2 linked regions of the Saccharomyces cerevisiae S288C genome follow. The protein of the gene in region 1 purifies or fractionates together with the protein of each later gene. This does not show direct contact. Each region holds a gene or a part of one and is shown on either strand. Other genes may lie near its edges.

Region 1 (6,119 bases):
GTCATATATTACTTTGAGCCTTTGCGAATCCTCTCCAAAGTGTCGGTTACCTACCGGGAGGGATAACCGCGGATAGCCGTCATTTACCGAAAATTGCCGAGGTCATGCTGAGCATTTGTCGTACTTTTGTGCGGCGGAGCTTTGATACCTTCGGTAAGTGTCGGTATGTAATAGGTTAGTGGCATCTTATTTATTGTGTTGAGTAAAGTTTAAGATATAAACTGGGCTAGTTTGCATCGTCACTACAGCGGCAGCTCACTTTCATTTTTTTTCTGCGTTTATTAATACTACATAAAATCTGATATAAAACATATTTAACTGATCAACCCTCTCAACTTGATACTCAAAACAAGTTGACGCGACTTCTGTAAAGTTTATTTACAAGATAACAAAGAAACTCCCTTAAGCATGGCACCTGTTACAATTGAAAAGTTCGTAAATCAAGAAGAACGACACCTTGTTTCCAACCGATCAGCAACAATTCCGTTTGGTGAATACATATTTAAAAGATTGTTGTCCATCGATACGAAATCAGTTTTCGGTGTTCCTGGTGACTTCAACTTATCTCTATTAGAATATCTCTATTCACCTAGTGTTGAATCAGCTGGCCTAAGATGGGTCGGCACGTGTAATGAACTGAACGCCGCTTATGCGGCCGACGGATATTCCCGTTACTCTAATAAGATTGGCTGTTTAATAACCACGTATGGCGTTGGTGAATTAAGCGCCTTGAACGGTATAGCCGGTTCGTTCGCTGAAAATGTCAAAGTTTTGCACATTGTTGGTGTGGCCAAGTCCATAGATTCGCGTTCAAGTAACTTTAGTGATCGGAACCTACATCATTTGGTCCCACAGCTACATGATTCAAATTTTAAAGGGCCAAATCATAAAGTATATCATGATATGGTAAAAGATAGAGTCGCTTGCTCGGTAGCCTACTTGGAGGATATTGAAACTGCATGTGACCAAGTCGATAATGTTATCCGCGATATTTACAAGTATTCTAAACCTGGTTATATTTTTGTTCCTGCAGATTTTGCGGATATGTCTGTTACATGTGATAATTTGGTTAATGTTCCACGTATATCTCAACAAGATTGTATAGTATACCCTTCTGAAAACCAATTGTCTGACATAATCAACAAGATTACTAGTTGGATATATTCCAGTAAAACACCTGCGATCCTTGGAGACGTACTGACTGATAGGTATGGTGTGAGTAACTTTTTGAACAAGCTTATCTGCAAAACTGGGATTTGGAATTTTTCCACTGTTATGGGAAAATCTGTAATTGATGAGTCAAACCCAACTTATATGGGTCAATATAATGGTAAAGAAGGTTTAAAACAAGTCTATGAACATTTTGAACTGTGCGACTTGGTCTTGCATTTTGGAGTCGACATCAATGAAATTAATAATGGGCATTATACTTTTACTTATAAACCAAATGCTAAAATCATTCAATTTCATCCGAATTATATTCGCCTTGTGGACACTAGGCAGGGCAATGAGCAAATGTTCAAAGGAATCAATTTTGCCCCTATTTTAAAAGAACTATACAAGCGCATTGACGTTTCTAAACTTTCTTTGCAATATGATTCAAATGTAACTCAATATACGAACGAAACAATGCGGTTAGAAGATCCTACCAATGGACAATCAAGCATTATTACACAAGTTCACTTACAAAAGACGATGCCTAAATTTTTGAACCCTGGTGATGTTGTCGTTTGTGAAACAGGCTCTTTTCAATTCTCTGTTCGTGATTTCGCGTTTCCTTCGCAATTAAAATATATATCGCAAGGATTTTTCCTTTCCATTGGCATGGCCCTTCCTGCCGCCCTAGGTGTTGGAATTGCCATGCAAGACCACTCAAACGCTCACATCAATGGTGGCAACGTAAAAGAGGACTATAAGCCAAGATTAATTTTGTTTGAAGGTGACGGTGCAGCACAGATGACAATCCAAGAACTGAGCACCATTCTGAAGTGCAATATTCCACTAGAAGTTATCATTTGGAACAATAACGGCTACACTATTGAAAGAGCCATCATGGGCCCTACCAGGTCGTATAACGACGTTATGTCTTGGAAATGGACCAAACTATTTGAAGCATTCGGAGACTTCGACGGAAAGTATACTAATAGCACTCTCATTCAATGTCCCTCTAAATTAGCACTGAAATTGGAGGAGCTTAAGAATTCAAACAAAAGAAGCGGGATAGAACTTTTAGAAGTCAAATTAGGCGAATTGGATTTCCCCGAACAGCTAAAGTGCATGGTTGAAGCAGCGGCACTTAAAAGAAATAAAAAATAGAAACTTGTGGGCGCAATTATAAAACACTGCTACCAATTGTTCGTTTTCTGTTCATTAACACATAAAAAACCCTTATGTAACTATATTTACAAAGTAAATACGTATATTAAAGCTATTTTACCACTACCACAGAGTTCTTTGTCCAGTTGCTAGTATTTTTTTTTTCGCGACGAGGCAGGGGCGGGGAGACGTGTTGTTTTTCCACGGCTTTCGGCTCACCACTTGAAGAACTATAAAAGGCCGCCAAATTTATCCTTTTTCACTTCTTCCGTTCGCTTTTTTCTGTCATTCCTATCGTGTGTTTAGTAGTAGGTTTTTTTGTTAGAAGAAGTTTTATCCGAAAACTATCGAAGACAAATAGATAAAAAAATCTCCCTCGTTCTATTTGAAACTTTAAGAAATCCATATTAAGAAAATACCTACATCTGCTAAATGTCTGCTAACTTAGATAAATCCTTAGACGAAATCATTGGCTCTAACAAAGCAGGAAGTAATAGAGCCCGTGTCGGTGGTACTCGTGGTAACGGTCCAAGAAGAGTTGGTAAGCAAGTTGGTAGCCAACGTAGGAGCCTTCCAAACAGAAGAGGCCCTATCAGAAAAAATACTAGGGCACCTCCAAACGCAGTCGCTAGAGTTGCCAAGCTCTTGGACACCACTAGAGAGGTCAAGGTCAACGTCGAAGGTTTGCCAAGGGACATTAAGCAGGATGCTGTAAGAGTATGTTAATACGTGAAATGAGAGCTATTTGTTTAGTTACTCGCATCGTCTCGTGTGGATACGAGAAATATTCTTTGTAAGGAAGGATATGGCACACGCTTTTGATCAAGAATTCTCTTTTTAGAGATGAAGAAAGAGTCCGAAATACTTCGCTAGAGAAAATACAAAAAGAGTATCGTTTTCATAAGCCAACCATACCAATTTTTTTCAATACTTCAAATCATGGCCTATAAGGTTGGAATTACCAGCTACCACTGAGAATGGGTTTGTTCTTATTGGCTGGGTTAACTCAAATCAATCTGACTATCTGCTAATCTGTCAATCTTACATTTTTAAGCTGGCGTATTGTGTCGCCTCGACCGTGATAGTTAGTTCCTATTTTTAATAAGCGTATCATCCAATACTGAAGTTGTGGAAGGATCAATTAATTTTGTATCCTTTCAAGAGGGAGTAGCTTTCAGTTTCGAATGGCACCATTTTCAAAAAATAGCTATGGGAAACATGTCTTTCATGAACGTTCGAAAAGATATGAGTGCATCGCTTCATTTTTTTATTATGATAGTTACAAAAATATTTGATTTGAGACACCTAATGAAACCAAAGAGGAACTCACCCATCGTGGTACATGTTTATTTGAGGGTTTATTTTTCCTACGCAATGGTATACTTTTAATACTCTCAACTCCTTGATTGTTTGTGTATTGTCCCTTCCTTCTTTGATTTTATATCATAGAGATATATGACTAACTTTTTTTTTTTTATTATAGGAATTTTTTGCATCTCAAGTAGGTGGTGTTCAAAGAGTTTTGTTGAGTTATAACGAAAGGGGCCAATCTACTGGTATGGCTAACATCACATTCAAAAACGGTGAATTGGCCAGAAGGGCTGTTGAAAGATTTAACGGCTCTCCAATCGATGGAGGCAGATCAAGATTGAGACTTAACCTAATCGTTGATCCAAACCAACGCCCAGTCAAAAGTTTAGCCGACAGGATCAAGGCTATGCCACAAAAAGGCGGAAACGCTCCAAGACCAGTAAAGAGGGGTCCAAATAGAAAAGCTGCTATGGCAAAATCCCAAAACAAACCAAAGAGAGAAAAGCCTGCTAAGAAAAGTCTTGAAGATCTGGACAAGGAAATGGCGGACTATTTCGAAAAGAAATAATTAATTGTCAATTTTTTGTTTGATTTAATTTGGTTTTATTAAATTTAATTTTTCCGAGTTTCATTATGTATTAGTTTCCAGAAAATTTAAAGGATTAAAAAATGTATTAATAAAACTTTGATATGTTTATGTAATAATATTTACCACCGCCACTAGGTGACGCTAACCTACTCATCGGTGACGGCTTTTCTCACTTTTAAAGTTTATTCGGCATATTTGACTCATAATATGTCACTATTTACAGTGCGATGAATATATATATACATAATACTGCATTGAAAAAATGGATAGGTTGATTAAACGTGTGTTACTCGTTTCTCCTCCTATCTAAAAAACCTAATTTGTCACCTCTTTTTCTTGTTACAGCACTAAGCCCGCTACCTTCATATTTACTCTTTCTTACTAATTGATGGTCCTCAGAGCAATCAATGTTGTCTCCTCCATCTTTAGGTATGGGGAACCCTGGTTTGACTTGAGCAAGGTTATCATAATAGTTTTTTTCATTCACTTCACCATTGTTTCCCCGCGCCTTTGGTATAAATTTAGCATCTCTTCTAGCTTTCACTATGGTCTTGACCACATAAATAGACGCAATCCCGGCTGCAGAAATGTATAGTAAATTCTTACTGTTGAAATCGCATTGGTAGTGTTTTCCTACTTTCGTCTTCACTTTGGTTATATATATGGTGCAATCAAACTCTGCTTCAAGGGATAGGCCAATAAGGAAATAACCAAAAAAGAAGTCCGGGAAATAGAAAAAGATATCCAATGTTAGTTTAGGCTTTACGAATAGATGTTTCCCTATTTCTTTTACACATACCCTATATTTTGAAATGGATTTGACATTGTATACTTAGTACGGCTCAAAGAATGAAATATTACTATATTTATCTCTTCATCTGCCTTGATTTTTTTATATGCAAGCAGGACGCTCGGGTTTGTAAGGAGGAAGATTGAAAAGGATGTCTTCAACTAAAAGGCGAAGAAGGAAGCGACACATTTGTGATGCTTTGAGGTCAGTAATGTAATATATATATATATATATATATATATATATTATATAGTGTAACTGCTCTTATTTATCTTGTCTATTCGAACCCAACAAAAAAGGCTGCAGTGGGAATCTGTTCATGTGGCTGTATCACAACCAAGGGCTACCGTTTAAGAATACTGGAGAGCTCTTGTCGTCTCTAATTTTATGATCACGTGCCCATTCTAGTCATTACGCAGGTAATGCGAAAATTACAGTATGGATCGTGTAAAGTTACCAAGCAGAAAAATTGTAATAATTTTCTTTTTCCAAATTTTCTCGGTATCTGAAATTTTTCATTTAAGAGATGATATTTGGACTTACTCTAAACTATTACTTTACGTATCTTTGATTTAACTTCCAGTTACAGATCGTTAAGGAATAGTCCGCGAATTTATTACCGCTTAAACTGATTATTTCAAATATAGAAAGTAATATCTATTAATCAACAACAGAAATGAAATACTTAGCTGCTTACTTATTATTGGTTCAAGGTGGTAACGCTGCCCCATCCGCCGCTGACATCAAGGCCGTCGTCGAATCTGTCGGTGCTGAAGTCGATGAAGCCAGAATCAACGAATTGTTGTCCTCTTTGGAAGGTAAGGGCTCTTTGGAAGAAATCATCGCTGAAGGTCAAAAGAAGTTCGCTACTGTTCCAACTGGTGGTGCTTCTTCTGCTGCTGCCGGTGCTGCCGGTGCTGCTGCCGGTGGTGATGCTGCTGAAGAAGAAAAGGAAGAAGAAGCTAAGGAAGAATCTGATGATGACATGGGTTTTGGTTTATTCGATTAAGGAATTTAATTAATAAACAATTTTCTTGTTTTCCTTCATTTTACAAAATCTGGTGTAAATCCTCGATTCCATTGTGATTTAAAAATAATTAATTACTGTATAAG
Region 2 (4,221 bases), on another chromosome or scaffold:
ACCCTGGTAAACTCAATTCCTAATGACAACGCGAATAATACCCCAGTGGAACGAGTTCAAAACGTCTCAGCATATCATAACACATTATCTGCCACAAATAATACTATGTACGATGCTACGTCAACCTGCTCCACGGATTATGAATTATCCAAGAGATTTGCTCATGCCCCCGTTACACGCCGTAAAAAACTAATTGATAGGCTGGAAGAATTGAAAAAGCTATCCAACCCTGATATGAATTGATCACTTATCAATGCATTACTTAAATATTCATATAATTATATCTATTACCATTTACATTTTATCGTTACTATATATAGTATTATCATGTCATTGAACGTGTTACGTCTATTATGTTACACTGATTTTTTTTTTTTTTTTTTACATAACAGCATCATGCAAGCCTTTAAAAATAATGTAGGTATGTATATATACAATAATATATATATATATATATATATCTGTGTGTAGAATCTTTCTCAGATATAAATTGATTGATTCTACTGAGGTACGTAGTTATCATCTTCTCTTTCTTCATCGAAACCTGGTCTGAAAGTACCCATTGCATCAGGAGGAGGGATATAATTATTCGTATTAGATTGTGAGCTACTGTTATCAAATCTGGAATGTGGTACGCCGACACGCTCTGCAAATGGAATGGCGAAGCCACCTCTGGATGCATCAAAATCGAACCTCAATTCATCGCTGACTTGACCACCGCTCTTACCACGACCAAACTGTCTTCCATCTTCAAAACCAGGATCTAGATCAATGGTAATTGTCTTTTCGTCTAACTTTGTATCGGACAAATATTTTAAGGCATTCAATGCTTCATCTGGACAACTATATATAATAAAACAGAAGCCACATGGCGTGAACTTAAAACGGTCCAAACCCATAATTATTCTTTTTATTGTGCCACATTTACTGAATAATTCGTAAATTTGTTCTTCTGATGTATAAAAGGAAAGATTTCCTACATAAATTGTGGATGACTTCATCGACTCACGCAGTTCTTGTAGCCCGTTAGGGTTTCTTCTAGCCTTGCGCAGCAGGTACCTTGATGGTGTATCTAGGCGTTTAGTTGAATGATCATATTTAACTTCGTCAAATTCTTCCAGGGACATCTTTCCCTTTATTTATTGGTATATTAATGGATGCAACTTTTATTCGATATTAGTCCTTTCGGGACTTTAAAAGCTGTCGAGACACTTTCTCCATATAAACTCATGTTCTATATTCATACATATAATATTTTTCTTGAAAAAAACACAAAAACTGTTAAAGCGGGTAATACTTTGATAAGCACTTATTAACGTTTATACCATACACTACTTCATACACCAATTACAAATCTATTAGTGGTATACTTTTACTGTAGACAATGTGGATTTTGATGTAATTGTTGGGATTCCATTGTGATTAAGGCTATAATATTAGGTATATAGATATACTAGAAGTTCTCCTCAAGGATTTAGGAATCCATGAAAGGGAATCTGCAATTCTACACAATTCTATAAATATTATTATCATCATTTTATATGTTAATATTCATTGATCCTATTACATTATCAATCCTTGCGTTTCAGCTTCCACTAATTTAGATGACTATTTCTCATCATTTGTGTCATCTTCTAACACCGTATATGATAATATACTAGTAACGTAAATACTAGTTAGTAGATGATAGTTGATTTTTATTCCAACATTTACTGGTACAATAGGTGTATGATATTTTCCCAAAGTTTAAATTTATATAATATAAGTGGCTTGTGCATTAATGCTCTTGAACGAAACTGGATAACGAAAACTGCAAATACTTGTAGTTTTAAACAGACACTTTCTGGGATAGGTCTATCAGCGAAGCTTGGGAATGTTTCGCCAAATTACCTGTATCCTTTCATGAGCGTGAGCAGGTTTAGGTCATGGTCACATCTTATTATATAAATTCTTTCAGAAGATTGTCAATTGTCCATCTATCGCCATAGATTATCTGAGAGCGAAGTTCCATTATGTCTACTAGTAGAAAATAATTTGAAGTTGAAATATAATAGCATTACAAAATTTTTTCTTTATATAGTCCGGTCTTGAAGAAGGATAACAATATTAAGTGTATGAAGACACAAGAACTTTTTCTTGGAAATTTGGATTTTTATGGGAGGAAACCTACAGCGGCAATGTATAATTATGATTAGTTCATCCTTTGCTGCCATCTGTTCGCAATTATTCATGCAATTGTATGATTATTGTCAGGCATTTCAACTTCCGGTAGATTCGTTTGTAATAATAGGTGAATTTTGTGTTGACATTATCAAACCGTTAAGATAGTGTTAGTTGCCAATTAGCATTTGCCTCGATAGAATGTGACGTTAGTTGTGGTACTAGGAATAAAAGTTGATGGCCAAACATTTTTCCTGCACATTTCCTTCAGCGTTTTCAGAAAAGAGAATTTGAGTAAAAATATTTTTGATGTTTAGGTTACCAATATCTCATTAATATAAATTTGAAAACAATGAATTTTGGGTTATACTTGGAGTGCATTTTATTGTGGTTAAAGGCTACAATATTAGCTAAACAGAATGTACAAGTAGTTTTCCTGGAGAATAAAAGAATTCTAAAAGAGAATCGATAATTCTATACAATAATATAGTTATCTCTTCTTTCGTTTATGTACTGTCGTTCTTGTTTTATTACGTTATTAATCCTTGCAGTGCACTTTTCATGATGACTGGTGACTGTTTCTCAATTTTTACATCATTTTTTTTTGAAAACATGATGATATACTAATAATTTGGATACTAGCAATAAATGCTTCTTGATCCTCTATTCCAACAAAAAAGTAACAAGAGCTTACTGATCTTCGGTTTTTATTTTACCTTATCCCAAATATCAAATTGAAATATACCGATTGTTTTAATCCGTTTTGTTGTATATTATCGTAATAATATGCAGATAATATACATATATACGTATTACGCCGATTAGGCTGACACTTTAACAAAATTTTCTGTCCAATTATTGTCCGATATAGTGTAACGGCTATCACATCACGCTTTCACCGTGGAGACCGGGGTTCGACTCCCCGTATCGGAGTTTTCTTTTTGCTTCCTTCCGCCCTTCCAAGTTGTTGCATAATCTTATCTGTCAAAATATGAACGCTTGAAAACTATAGATTATAATTATCATTTATTTAGCCATAATGGAGGGAAGAATAATATGATTGCATATCAAAGGTAAAAAAAGTCGAGTAAATGACTTATAAACGTAAAAAATATATTGATAAAAGACATAAACGAGGCCATGAAGGTGGGAAAAAAAAAAATAACTGCATAATAATGTTAACTAAATGAAAATAAAATGAAAAATAAAATGAAAAATAAAATGAAAAAAACAAATCATAGGACAAAAAGTTTCCAAATGAAGGATAAGAGGCCTAAAAACCAATGTGCTTTCCAGGCAAAACCAATCTTAGCAACAGCTACACTTTGGTTTTGTATAACTTCTTTTTATTTTTCAATGCACGCGGCTTTAACAGTTCAAAGCTACACATCATACCCGTTGTAACGCTCATTACTGCCCCCCAATTATGAAATTCTCCACAATAATTTGGTGCTGAAAAGATTGTGACAAACTTTTTCCTGGCAAAGAATTCATAACCATCTTCTACGACCATATGTCCCCTAAGTATTAAATCGAATTTAAACTTAGCACAAAAATCAAGAACGTTCCTCTTAGAAAATGTGTATGAAACACCACGATCATTTTCTGACCAATCAGTTACTTGAGGGTCTGGGTCACTCCACAGTAAGTCTGTAACCAGCCCGCTTTCAGGAATATCCGTTGGTCTTGCGACTTTTTCGATTTGCTTCATGTCATGTAAATCGGGCGATATACCTCCATGAACGCAAAAGATCTTATCTTGAATAATTGCTGCTAATGGCAAAGTATTAAATACGTCAACGAACATTTTCCATACTTTCGAGCTCAATCGCCTTTTGCATTCATCATAGAAACCGTACATCTTTGTGACATTAGCAGATTCGTGATTACCCCTTAACATAAAAAAGTTGTCTTTGTACTTTATTTTGTAACATAATAACAATAGTATTGTTTCCAATGAGTTCTTACCACGGTCCACATAATCACCCAAGAACAGATAATTAGTATCAGATGGCACACCAGACAACTTCAAAATTCTCAATAAATCATTAAATTGTCCAT

The links. Proteins that work in one complex are often made in the same cells at the same time.
Region 2: the proteins of YRA1 (region 1) and CBC2 purify together in Saccharomyces cerevisiae (affinity purification with western blotting; 7 studies listed by BioGRID, with this or other methods). This does not show direct contact.

What each region holds. Positions count from the first base shown.
Region 1 is NC_001136.10:1,233,810-1,239,928, forward strand, and holds YRA1 (RNA-binding protein YRA1), read left to right. Parts: upstream 1-2,748; coding exon 2,749-3,033; intron 3,034-3,799; coding exon 3,800-4,195; downstream 4,196-6,119. Other genes in the region: phenylpyruvate decarboxylase ARO10, read left to right, coding at 409-2,316; COI1 (Coi1p), read right to left, coding at 4,503-4,821, 5,016-5,041; ribosomal protein P2 RPP2B, read left to right, coding at 5,683-6,015. UniProt on the Saccharomyces cerevisiae protein: RNA-binding RNA annealing protein. May have a role in pre-mRNA metabolism. Component the TREX complex, which operates in coupling transcription elongation to mRNA export.
Region 2 is NC_001148.4:209,064-213,284, reverse strand, and holds CBC2 (nuclear cap-binding protein subunit CBC2), read right to left. Parts: upstream 1,128-4,221; coding exon 501-1,127; downstream 1-500. Other genes in the region: CUP9 (Cup9p), read left to right, coding at 1-243; PPQ1 (protein-serine/threonine phosphatase), read right to left, coding at 3,479-4,221.